3 linked regions of the Nothobranchius furzeri genome follow. The protein of the gene in region 3 purifies or fractionates together with the protein of the main gene of each other region. This does not show direct contact. Links are inferred from orthologs where the notes say so. Each region holds a gene or a part of one and is shown on either strand. Other genes may lie near its edges. The genes, in order: mkks, bbs7 and bbs12.

Region 1 (4,140 bases), on a different chromosome or scaffold from region 3:
TGAGCTGCGAACGTGTGATTCATGCACATAGAAGGGGATGCGCTGAGGGGGGAGGGACGGTCAGAGGGCAGTTTGATGGACGGATCAGGAGCCAATCGAAAAGGAGGAGATGTTCACAATGATTGGATGAGGTTTTTTCAGGATTCTACATTTCAGAGGCAATTAAATTATTCCTTTTTTTTTTAATGAAGTATTTAGTTTATTGCCATCAGCATGTGAGGAGCACTTCAAGCAATGTGGCAAAAAAAAAAAACAAGCTCCAGAAAAACATTTCCTACTGCACCTTTCACTCTATCAAGCAACAAGATCACAGTTATGATCCTGTGGGTTTGTTTGTAATAACAAGTTGGAAAAAAACATTGAAATGTTTTGTTTGCATTGATTTGAGTTCTAAAATAAAATCAGTTTTCCTCATTTCTGAGAACAAAGAGTAATTTAACAACAGCCTGCAGCATCTGTTCTAGTTTTATCATCAGAGGATGAAAGTTTAATCAGTTCACATCTTGAATAACATATCTCACATCCAGTGCAAGGTTAGCCGTTTCCACGGCAACCTGGAATGCGCTGAGTTTAGCTGCGAAGGAGTCCAGCACACTTGGCTGCACAGGAGTGTCTCTAACAACAGGAACAGGAGAGAAACCTGGATGTTCTGTTTTCAGAAAAGTCCACTTTGTACTCGAAGAGCTTCCCACCACACCACAGCCACAGAATCCCACACTCCCATCCATTTGTTCTTCCAGGATGTCTGGAGGGAAAGTCCAGTTGTGAGCATGGGTCAGATCGCTGACAGAAGTCCCACCATCGTGCTCCAGAGAGCTGGCAACAAACTCCAGAGAGTGGCAGAATCCCTCAACGGCAAGAAGATACTCCGTCTGCGAGCAGCCCAATCCTGTTGCTGTCTCTGATACTTCATTCTTGCACTACAGTAAAATAAAACCATGAAACATCTCTGCTGGTGATATGAAAATTCAAATGTAAACAATTTAAAATCAGAGATTAACCTTGTGTCTGATGTAAGCAGCTAAGTGGGTCTCAGTACAGCCGCCTCCCAGTAAGGCAGATGGTTCCCTGAGGGTGAGTCTCAATACATGCTCGGTTTTCTGGGACACCACCTTTAAAACAAACATAAAAGGACGTCACATGACTGGTTTGACACTTCCCTGACTTTAGATATACATCTGATGTCAGGTCATTTAAGTTTGTTTTGTCTTATGCAATCATATAATTAATATTTTCTCACAATATACTCAATATAGCATTTAATACATGATTGTATTTGTTGTGTGCACAAATTATAAATCACGTTAAATGAACAACTTCAAAAACAAACAAAAGATGCAATTCTATAATCCTTTTATCTGCTAACGTTGATCCCAAAAACTTCCACACTGCTGCTTAAAACCTTTTTTTTTAACCTTCAGCTCATTCAGCATAGTCTCGTTCCTGTGACACAGAACCATGGTGCAGACTGTTGATTCCTCGAAAGGCTGTAAATGGAGCAACTTCTTGGGACCAAACTGCTTGACACTGAGATGCCTTATCTTCCCATAGGCCACGGCTGGGGGGGTGCTGTGTAATGTGGCCACGGGTTGAGCACCTATAACAAAGAAGAATATTTAGGATGCAGGGTATAATTTCATTTATGTGTGTCCCAGTGATTCATTAATTACAATTATATTTTCAAACAGAATGACATAAATGAGTATAACTGCTAATCGCCATGACGCGTACCTGTCATCTGAGTAAGTGGCTCCATCAGAGCAACTCCAAGTCTCTCAATGACAAATACACCGTGACATCTCAAGAAGCGCTGTAAAACTGGGTGGATGACCTTCTGGCAGACAAACACCCTCACCTCATCTTTAACCACCTGCTTTCCAAGCTCTAGAAGCTGATCCAGGATCTGTGAGGCAGTGTCCAGATGTGGGTGAGCCTGGATCACACCTTCACCTACTTCACAGAGGTCTCCAGCCAAAGATGCACTGAACAAAACCATAAGCAGCGGGGCAGAAAAGCTGTCTTTCGTGTCAAAGAAATTGTCCTCAGGCACGTCTACCAGTAAGCCTGTGAACACGGCAGATTCCAGGACAGAATGTCCCTTAATGGTAACAGTCACTATTTTACCAAGACTGACTGTACCTGGGATGCTGCAGGGAACAGTGAGTAAGAAGGCATGCACTGCCAACCTGCTGATGTGGAGTGATTCCAGCTCAGTCAGAACACACGCTGGCTTGCTGGAGATGACACTACGAGCTAAAGCGATCAGGTTCTGACTCCTGCAGAAGTCAAGACTGACTTTGCAGCTGCAGCCATCTTGTTGTAGGTAACTAATGCACATAGCCAGCAGGTGATTATTTACTCTGATCACAGCATGCTCTCTGACACCAGACAGCTTTGCTTGTTCCACAAGAGACAAACAGAGAATAGCAGCAAACAAGCCACAGTCACTGAAGCGGTGGACGTGACTAAGAAGGGAGGATTTCATCACGTTAATAAGAGGATGGGAGGATGTGATAGCTGGAAGCAGAACAGAAGACGTCGAAGTCGTTACCACCAATCCTCCAATGTTATTATGAACTTGTTTAAGCCTAGCTGTCGGACCGTAACACGATCTCAGAAGCTCCATCATTAAACGGAGCTTTCCACAAACATCTGCGTTGCTCAGAGGCAAATCCGTACAAACAGATGGACATTTCTTCACGAGGCGCGACATCACCCGAGAAGCTAACTCAAGTTTAGCACAAGGTCGACGCCTAAACAGCAACAGATAGACCGATTAACTACTTTTGAACACCGGCAACACAACACTGGTTCGCAATGAGACATTAGTCTAGTTAGTCTGTCAGGAAACCATAGAACGAAAACATTAACGTCCCTGCTTTACTCAGGCATTAATGTGTGCTAGAACTCCTAAATATGCCTGTCAAAAAGTGAAAATAAATATACGTTATTATTTATTTAAACTAAGTATTTACAAATTGAACAGAAATAATAGCATAATGTAAGTAATTTAATGGTAATTATTTTATATTTGAAAGTATTTGAATTACAAATATGTAAAGTTAATACAGGCATAGTTACAGACACCCTTCGTTTCCATGGTAGCACTCGCAGCGTTGGGTCCTGCGCTATTAATGAGGTCCTAGTTGAGTGACTACTAAAAATATTACAGTTGTCCTCATTTATATAGAGAAACACATTTCTTGAACGCTTTCTTTGATACTTTTGATTTTTCTCGTTTTTTGTCATCCGAGAACAGCTAAACTCTTTGGTCCAATTTTAGAACTACAGCGGTCTTAGGACTACAAAATGTATATGACGACATCTCTTGCTGCCATGTTGGCGTTTCAAACCTGTTGGCGGTAGGAAATCTTAACTCACTAATGACGTCTTTTTTATTTACCTTTTAAACAATGTATGTCGTTGTTGTGAAAATAACTAGAAGTGTATTAACGTTCGACTGGTTAGCATAAACTATTTATCTCGTAAACATAGCTAATGAACTCCAGTACAAGAAGCTAGGTAGACTTTTTAAAAACTTCATTTAAGTCAGTGAAATTTTACATATTATAACCCAACAAAGTGTTTTAACATTTTGGAGTAATCACTTTTATTAATAAACTATTTTTAGATGAGGCCTTGCTTGGTTACCTTATCAAAATCGTGATAAAACTATTGTTTGTGGAGGTTGAGCTGGCATGACTGTTTTTACTGTAACTGTGTCTTACAGGTGAAAGCTGATGTTGTGCAATGGCTCCATTTAAATTTACTGTCAAGGTAGGTGAACACAAACTATATAACACACACATTCTTGTTCCAGTATGGTATTAAGAGATAAACAATGGTTTAATGATGTTTATATTGTTTTTATTATCATTTGAATGCTAAACCTATTTTTATTGTTTATTATATGAATCCCTATTAGTTGTCAAAATAAAAGCTCGACATCTGGGGTCATTTACCAAAACAATTCATGCAAGACAAAAAAAAGACAAAACATTTATCAAATACAACCCATAAAAATCCTATAATTTAACTACAATGTCCACTACTAAAAGCATTATAAGCGCCCACAATGGTAAAAATCTAAATGTACATACATTCAAATAAAATGAGTACAGACTCTTATTGCAATACCAC
Region 2 (4,322 bases), about 1.2 Mb from region 3:
GGGTCTTGATCACGAGTGAGGGAACGATGGAGCACGAGACTGACAGACGGATTTGTGCTGCGTCTGCAGTTGTACTGATCTAACGTGATGAAAAGATAGCTGAGCTGGAAGGCAAAGCTTTTGATTTAACGGTCAATCTACGTTCCTACCCTCACCTATGGTCACGAGCTTTGGGTAGTGACCGAAAGAACAAGATTGCGGATACAAGCGGCCGAAATTATTTTTCTCCGCAGGGTGTCTGGGGTCTCCCTTAAAGAGGATGAGAAGCTCTGTCATCCGGGAGGGGCTCAGAGTAGACCCACTGCTCCTCCACGTTGAGAGGAGCCAGTTGAGATGACTCGGACATCTATTTAGGATGCTTCCTGGACACCTCCCTGGTGAGGTTTTCCGGGCACGTCCAACTGGGAGAAGACCTGAAAGAAGACCCGCTAGAGGGATAATGTATCTCGGCTGGCCAGGGAACGCCTTAGGATTCCCACGGAGGAGCAGGCTCAAGTGGCTGGGGAGAGGAAAGTTTGGGCCTCCTTGCTTAGGCTACTGCTCCCGCGACCTGACCCCAGATAAGCAGCCGAAAATGTTTGTTTATTTATTGCACTGGAAATATGTCATAAACATAAACATAAACAGAAAATGGATGGATGGGTTAGTGGCTAAAATATACAACCATAAAAAAGCTGCACCTCCTTTCCTTTTGTTATTGTCAATCTCCCATTTGATCCCAGCTGAGTGGTCACCAATTTGAACCAGTCCAATTTTCCCATCTGTGGTTCCATAAAGGATTTCATCACCTAAAGGGGAAGAAAAATATGTATATTTAATTTCTTCAAAACTAAACAGTTTAAAGTTTATCTTTAGAGTGCACAAACCGACTTGCCTCCATCTTTGTTGTAGAGTTCCAGTACAGATGGCGGGCCAGGAATTTCAATGTCATAAGCAAGCTCAGATCCCTATGACCAGTTTTAAATAGATCACTGTCATATCTGGGTGTTTGAAGATGAACAGTTGAACAAAGTTCAAACAAAAAATGTGATTTCAATTTACCTGCAAAACTCTGAGAATTCGATCCTGGCATGCCAAGACTGGGGTGAGACGCAAGAGTTTTTCTGAGGACAAACATATGATATCATTTATTTTGTCTCCAGAGAGAAAGTAGTCTTGATCCTTGCAGTCACAGTAGTGGTTGTAGATGTAACTTGCACATACAAACAGATCAGCTCCTGAGACATGCCTGAAAACAACATTACAGCATCACTCAGTGGAGGTCACACGGTGCAAAACAATGCAATCAAACAAACTGATAAGAAATTATTCCTACATGGCATTAATGTTCTCAGTGAGGTTGGCCTCAAAGGTGAGGAATTGTTTGCCTTTCTTGGTGAATCCTCGAACCTGAGAACCAGAGCAGACAAAGATCTTTTCCTGGGGGGTTCCTATGGCACCTCCAAGGTCCATCCTGGCTATTTTGGGGCCCGGAAGCGTTTTAAACACAGACTGAAACACAGAGTCAGATGTTACTATAGCAGAAATCTTTCTTTTGACTTTAACACCAGCTATGCAATGACTTCTAAACTCACCACAGCCTCCCCCTTCTTCATGCCAAAACATGTAAGTACACCATCGTGATCGGCTATAGCAACCTGAAACACAATAAACACCCACATATTAAACCTATTTACACATGGATTTTAACAACATTTCACACATAGACAATAAATAGAAGATCTGAGTTTAGAATATGTTTAATACCCGTTGCTTAAACACCACCCTCACACTATTCCGAATGTCCTGAATTGTAAACAGTACCTTCTGAGTTGCTTTTTTCCCCACCGCTGGAAGTAACCTCATGGTTTTCTGTGATGTTACACCAACCTAATCACAGAGCAGGATTAAACACCGATCATTAAAAATTAAGAGATCATAACCAAACCAACTTCGATAGTAAATGCATCTAATGAAAACACCACCTTCTAAAAAGGTATCGCAGACCTCAGCAGCTCCTGCTTCCTACCTGAGTATAATCAACTCTGTTGAGTTGGAGCTCCATCTTCTTTCTTTAAGGATTTATTTAGTACAAGAAAAATACTCCAGGTGAGCGTTCTGGCCTCAGAATGATACTATGCCCTTTTACAACTCGATACAGATAAAAGAAAATCAAGCGGAATTCTGGAACAATGGTGCCATTTGAGAATGGGATTATTTTCAGCAAGAAGATTAGCTCGACGTGCTAACGTTGGCTAACACGATTAATCCGCCGGTCAGCTGTCTGTCCTCTTCGCCATCTTTAACAAGGTCCAAGTATTGATATCACACAGACCAGAAACTGGTCTAAAGTTCGAATTCTGTTGAAAGCTAAAATTAAGCCTACTGTACACACGCCTTGCAGCAGAATGCAGTCACCATGGCAACAGTACATCCTGTAACACGATGCGATTCTATTGGATGAGAGCGAACCAGCAGAGTTTTAAGCTGCAAATTGATTGGTTGGCTTCCTCGCGGTTTAAAAGCAGATTCATGGTTTTAACCACTGATCTTCGATACCTTAGATACGTCAGCAAGATAAATACTTTTTGTATATAGTATACCCAGTCATAACGCTAATAAGATATCTTAAGATAAACTAATGTAAAAATTGGGGGTTCAATGCTCAAAACGGAGGGTCCCTCGGCCATAAATCAATTTTCCTCACATACACACACGTTCTTATCCATACATTCCTCTCTCTCTCACACACACACGCGCGCGCGCGCGCACACACACACACACACATACTCACACATTATATGATATTCAACATACATGAAATTCTGAGCCATTGAGTCGACCTATTATTTTCTGGAAACTATAATATTGTCATTGGTATAATTGTCTATCATCTCTGCTGTTATTACAGAAATACTCATACAACATGTTCTTATTGGAAGTTATATTACTGTAGATGTATGTAATCCTGAGATGTAGATTAAAAATGTACATGGCTTATTTAAAGTAGATTTGTAGTGTGTGGCAAGGGGGTGGGATTGAATACTCCCTTTGGGCTAAGACTTTTAAAAAAATTGGTATATCTTTTCATTTTTTTACTATGTTCATTGATTTGAAATTTATTGTCTTACGTTCAAATAAACGTTTCAATCATTTAATCAATCACACACACATTGGTATATCTATACTTGTGAGGACCCTTCATTGACTTCCATTCATTTTTGTTACTGCTACGGTTAACCCATACTCCAACCCTAACCAATGTTGCTGTATTCCAATAACTTTATGGCTAATCCATGTGTGAAACTGACGTCTTGAAGAATCTTGGCACTGTCATCTTGGAATATACCCATGCCATCAGGGAAGATGGAATAACCTGGTCATTCAGTATATTCAGGTGACTGTTTTTTGGCGGGGCAGTATAAAAAATTCAATTCAGTTCAGTTTATTTATATAGCGCCAAATCACAAGAGTCGTCTCAAGGTACCACACAAAGTAAACAATCCAATAAAGGTCAGTTCATTAAGCCAATCAGTAAAGTTCCCTATATAAGGAACCCAGCTAATTGCATCAAGTCACTGACTGGTGTCAGTATCTTTACAGCAATCCTCATACTAAGCAAGCATTTAGCGACTGTGGAGAGGAAAACTCCCTTTTAACAGGAAGAAACCTCCAGAGGATCCTGGCTCAGTATAAGCAGCCATCCACCACGACTCACTGGGGATCGAGAAGACAGAGCACGCACGCACACTCACACGCACACGCACACACACACACACACACACACACAGGTATATGGCATTCAGTTTGTGTGTGTCAAGAATGCATCTGTGTGAGAATGTGCAACAGAATAAATGGCCTTGACAGCCCCTCATAAAAACTCACTGGTTGTTAGCAGAAATCTTAAATACAAATGTATACATGCATTAGTCTATGTTACTTTTTTATACGACCACCATGTACCTCTTCTTAAAAAGTGCAATCTTCTATACATTTGCCACAGTTCCATTTTTTCCCATGTCTATATTCTAGCCTGTTTTTATTTTATTGTAATTTTGTTCTGCAATGCATCTGCACAGATTGAATGACTAATCTGAATCTGAATTGTAGCTTATTAAAGCTACACTTGTTGATTCTGAGGCAACAGTCAACCACTAAAGTGACAAGTAATCAATTTTACTACTTTATTAAGAGAGAACTTGATCTTTGTCATAAAAATGTGGTCTTAAGCAGAAAGGGTGGGAGGAAAATGTGTTGAACACTAAACACATGAAAAAAGTTAAATATAATTTGCTTTAAAACAGAGAAACTATATTTAATACATTCAAAGGGAATGGCATGCT
Region 3 (4,180 bases):
GGAAGGACCAGTGGCGCCAGTGCTCGGAAGCTTCGCCTCTGTCAGTGCGCCCCAAGGCAGCTGTATCTACATTGTAGCCAGGGTCCGAAATTAACACTCGCCACTCGCCAAATGCGAGTAAATTGCTCCATTTGGCGAGTAAATTTTTGAGCTCTACCTGCCACCTGGCGAGTAAATGTTTGCACCAAATTAGTTATGTTTATCAGTCATCTTCCATGGATTTCTGATACTCCTCCCGCCTGCATGCAACTTACACAAACGTACGCGAAACGTGAATGCCGCATCCAACGTCATTTCCACCTATCCCATTCAATCAGTTTATCAAGTTAGCAGTTAGCTTCGTGTTAAAACTAGCGGTGAAATGTGGCGGTTTTTAACTGGAGTCAGCCAGCCTTCCAAAAGAAAACTCGTCGAACTGGAAGAAAAACCACCAGGACCAGTGGCAACCAGAAGATTTTGTGAAAAGTGGCGAACTGGAGACGGCGGAGTCGTGAGACAATGGCTACATTATGATGGCCACGTAGCGTTGCTGCCTTTCACAGACAACTGGCCCTCGGCATTCTTCAAATATCCAAAAAATGCCCATACTTCCGACTTTGTCTTCTTTGAGGGATAATAAATGTCCCAAGTGCTGCCGTCTCCTCCTGCCATTATTTCAGCTTTAGCTCAAAGAAAGTTTTGGTCATAAACAACAAAGTGCGCATGTGCCGCCGGCAACTTCCAGCAGATGATACGGTGGCTGGAAAGGGTCACCGCGCCTACACCGCAGCCACGGAAATCCACCGAGATAATATATATATATATTTTTTTAAACAAGACTGTTATTATTTATTGTCAACTTTTTTACCGGGGTTTACTGCTACACCAGTTACCGTGACAACCCTAGCCCTGACACACTTTCAGATATTCTCATGGTGCAGCTGTGTTCTCCAGAGATCAAGGACTAGGACCCAAATGAGGCTGTAATGCTTTGGCACAGAGACTGTGTCAGAAGCAGGAGGCCAGACTTCATGGACAGAGAAAACAAGGAGTCTGACTAGATTTCAATGAAAGAGTTCATAAAAACATCTCTAAAAATAAATAAATAAATAGTAAAAATGACAAAAGATTTGTTTTCCTTATTAATTGATGTTTTAATTATTTTGTCACTCTGTTTGGAATCAACATAATATAGAATAACATGCTTTAGGTAGATCTAAATCATTTAGAATTTTGGCCGGTAAAAAATATGCTTGGCCAGTAGATTTTCATCATCTACCGGCCAACTTGGCCGGCGGCGGTGAGTAAAAAATTTAATTTCGGACCCTGATTGTAGCTCATCCCCATCAGCATGCGTGTGAATGGGTGAATGACCGATTGTGTTGAAAAGCGCCTTTGGGGGTTCTAGGACTCTAGAAGGCGCTATATCAAATACAGGCCATTTACCCTAACCATAACCCTATAAGACACATAAAAATTGTCCCACACAGAGTTATTTTATAAATCATAATTTTGCTAAACATACATATTTGGTGACTGAGTGGTTATGGTTACCGTAAGTGTTAGGGTGAGTGTTCATTTTTGTGGGAGGGGAACTCAAATCGACATAACACTGGCGCCTGAAGCAGGGGAAACAAATTCTACCGGGGACAACTACATTGCTACAAGACCGGCATTTATTTTTGAACATGACATGTCAGCAATTTAATCACTGTTTTAATATCATTCCATTTTAATATCATGTAATATCAATAATCAAGAAGCAATAACAGTGACCAGCATTCCCATTTAGGAAGTTGCAGAGACATGACACTGACGCAGGTCAATGAAGCAATGTTCACTCTTTCAATTCTGCAATATGCACACTTACAACATACTCTAAGTCTTACATGCACTTGCTGGAGGACTGTAGGCTGCAGTGAGAGTATTTGGACTGGGTCTTAGTTGGTTCCCGGCTTCAACACACCTGAATTGAATCACCAGGTGATTAACAGGCAATTCAACCATTGAACCAAGAGTGTTGGAACAGACAAACAACTAAAACTGGACAGTGGCCCTCGAGGACTGGAGTTCAAGATCCCTGTCTTAGAGGGATCCAAACCTCATTTTACTTAGGTGTGCTGTATGTTTCTGTAGAGGAGAACATCTTAGATTGAAATTCAAAACAAAATATCAGCACAAAGTAATAGAGAAAATGTTTGATGATTACAGTTGGGTGAAAGCACTACAGAGTAGAAAGGAATGATCAGAAACAAAAGAAAATAGCTGCTCATCTTAAATATTGTAAAGCTGCTAACACATTGAGGATTATCTTAATAAAGCTAGTTAAGTAGGGACAATCCTGAAATTTACTTAATTACTGTTATTTTATTTGTTAGTATGATTGATTTTTATTGTGTTCAGCACCTTGGGCTTCGGCTAAGGGTTGTGGAAGGTGCTCTATAAATGAATAAATGAAATGAAAATTGCAGCACATGCAAGTTGCAACTTGAAGAGTTAAAATCTTTTCAAATGGAATCTTGGTCAGCATCTGCTTGACATTTATCTATGCCTTTCAATTATATCAAACAAAGAAAGCAGATACACGCAGAAAAAGAGAAGTACACTTAACTTGACCCAATCTCAGTGTTAGCTTTAAGCTAACGTGTTAATAATATATACATTATATTACTACATTCGGAAAATGTATGATAATGAATGGGTCCAACAACATTATCATTAAAAAGTCGTCACCAAAATAGCTTTTTTGTATAGATTAAAAAGAAGGAAATTACCTTTAAGACTTTGAAACGTCTAGTCAGCTACCTCAGGGATTTGTTTCCAATGCGCATGCGTTGTGCGTTCAGTTGCTAGGTGACAAGAAACGGATTGCGCGATTGGTCGACACGTTTAGAGCCTGCCTATTCTACGTTGTGATTGGCTAATATGTTTCCATTAAACTTTTTCCTAGTTTCTATTGGTTATTTGGACCAAAAAAAAAACTACCGTTGTAACTTGTTACCTGTTTTGTTGACATCCGTTTTTCAAACGCTAAAGCTTTCCCGATCGACTCATCTGTTCGAATGGTATACTTTTAGAGACCTTCATTCATACAAGTATCTTTTGCTGCCAAATTATTTAGAGGTTGCTCGGTCAGTTTTAAAGTTAGTGTATTGTTCTCATGGTGCTGTATGGAAGCTCTTTGCTAGTTAGCAGAACCCGTGCTCCTCTGTGAGTTCGCTAGGTGACTTAATGTATTTAAAATAACATTTATTTTTCTATTTATCAGGCTTCGAGTTACCGGAAGGGATCCTTCTCTGCGAGCCAAAGGAAAAAGGCAAATAGCAAAGTGGAACTGACCGAGAACCAGCTTCAAGAAATTAAGGAGGCGTTTAATCTGTTCGATACAGATGGAACTGGAACGATAGACGTTAAAGAGATAAAGGTCAGATCCATAGAATAATTATTTGTGCACAGATTATCTGATACCCCAGTCCATCCGCAGCAGAAGTTTTTCTATCTGTTTATTTTTCGCAACAGGTTGCTATGAGAGCTCTTGGTTTTGACCCAAAGAAAGATGAAATCAAGGCGATGGTTGCAGACTTTGTGAAAGATGGCTCTGTAACAGTTAGTTTCAATGACTTTGTCAGCATGATGACTCAGAAAATGGTAAGTCAACAAAAATGAAATAAACTAAATCATGTAACACAAGATAGAATGAACTGTCAAGAACCTACAGCGTTGGTTTGTAAATGTAATATATAACTAAGTTTAATATTCAAAATAAGCTTTTACACAATAGAATAAGTGCAAAAAATATGCTGTTGCAGTAGTTTATTTAGGCTAGAAATGTAGCTGTTCAGAAGACAATTTTGTGTGATCTCTTTACAGGGAATCTTAGGTCCCTGAATAATAAAATGCATTGTCTGTGAATGTTGGTCAGAACAAATTGGGAATGCAAGACTACACTCTTAGAATTATGAGTTTGACTGAGATATGCATGAAAATTTTCCGATCTCAAGCACCTCTCCCACCTGGCTTTCTGCATGTAATGGGCTGTTGATACAGCAGATGGAGCAGAAAGATTAACGGAGGAGGGGTAAAGGGCAATGGTTTTGCTTTGGAAAATGGAGAAGTGCTCAATCAAACACATATTTAAAAAAAACACATTTGTCCCACAACTGAACCACTCAGTAACAACATTTGAACACATTAAATAAAA

What was found.
Region 1: the proteins of bbs12 (region 3) and mkks purify together in Homo sapiens (co-immunoprecipitation; 4 studies listed by BioGRID and IntAct, counting the BioPlex papers as one, with this or other methods). This does not show direct contact. The link is inferred for Nothobranchius furzeri from reciprocal best matches to the Homo sapiens genes BBS12 and MKKS.
Region 2: the proteins of bbs12 (region 3) and bbs7 purify together in Homo sapiens (co-immunoprecipitation; 3 studies listed by BioGRID and IntAct, counting the BioPlex papers as one, with this or other methods). This does not show direct contact. The link is inferred for Nothobranchius furzeri from reciprocal best matches to the Homo sapiens genes BBS12 and BBS7.

What each region holds. Positions count from the first base shown.
Region 1 is NC_091752.1:1,560,286-1,564,425, reverse strand, and holds mkks (molecular chaperone MKKS), read right to left. Parts: upstream 2,921-4,140; 5' UTR 2,714-2,920; coding exon 1,732-2,713; intron 1,598-1,731; coding exon 1,416-1,597; intron 1,113-1,415; coding exon 1,002-1,112; intron 921-1,001; coding exon 492-920; 3' UTR 448-491; downstream 1-447. UniProt on the Homo sapiens protein: Probable molecular chaperone that assists the folding of proteins upon ATP hydrolysis. Plays a role in the assembly of BBSome, a complex involved in ciliogenesis regulating transports vesicles to the cilia.
Region 2 is NC_091741.1:74,284,388-74,288,709, reverse strand, and holds the start of bbs7 (Bardet-Biedl syndrome 7 protein), read right to left. Parts: upstream 2,890-4,322; 5' UTR 2,045-2,889; coding exon 2,009-2,044; exon of another isoform or gene 1,965-2,008; intron 1,870-1,964; coding exon 1,804-1,869; intron 1,638-1,803; coding exon 1,575-1,637; intron 1,492-1,574; coding exon 1,316-1,491; intron 1,229-1,315; coding exon 1,042-1,228; intron 948-1,041; coding exon 875-947; intron 789-874; coding exon 681-788; intron 1-680.
Region 3 is NC_091741.1:73,113,190-73,117,369, forward strand, and holds the start of bbs12 (Bardet-Biedl syndrome 12 protein), read right to left. Parts: upstream 2,865-4,180; 5' UTR 2,754-2,864; intron 1-2,753. Other genes in the region: uncharacterized protein cetn4, read left to right, coding at 3,042-3,044, 3,248-3,403, 3,499-3,627. UniProt on the Homo sapiens protein: Component of the chaperonin-containing T-complex (TRiC), a molecular chaperone complex that assists the folding of proteins upon ATP hydrolysis.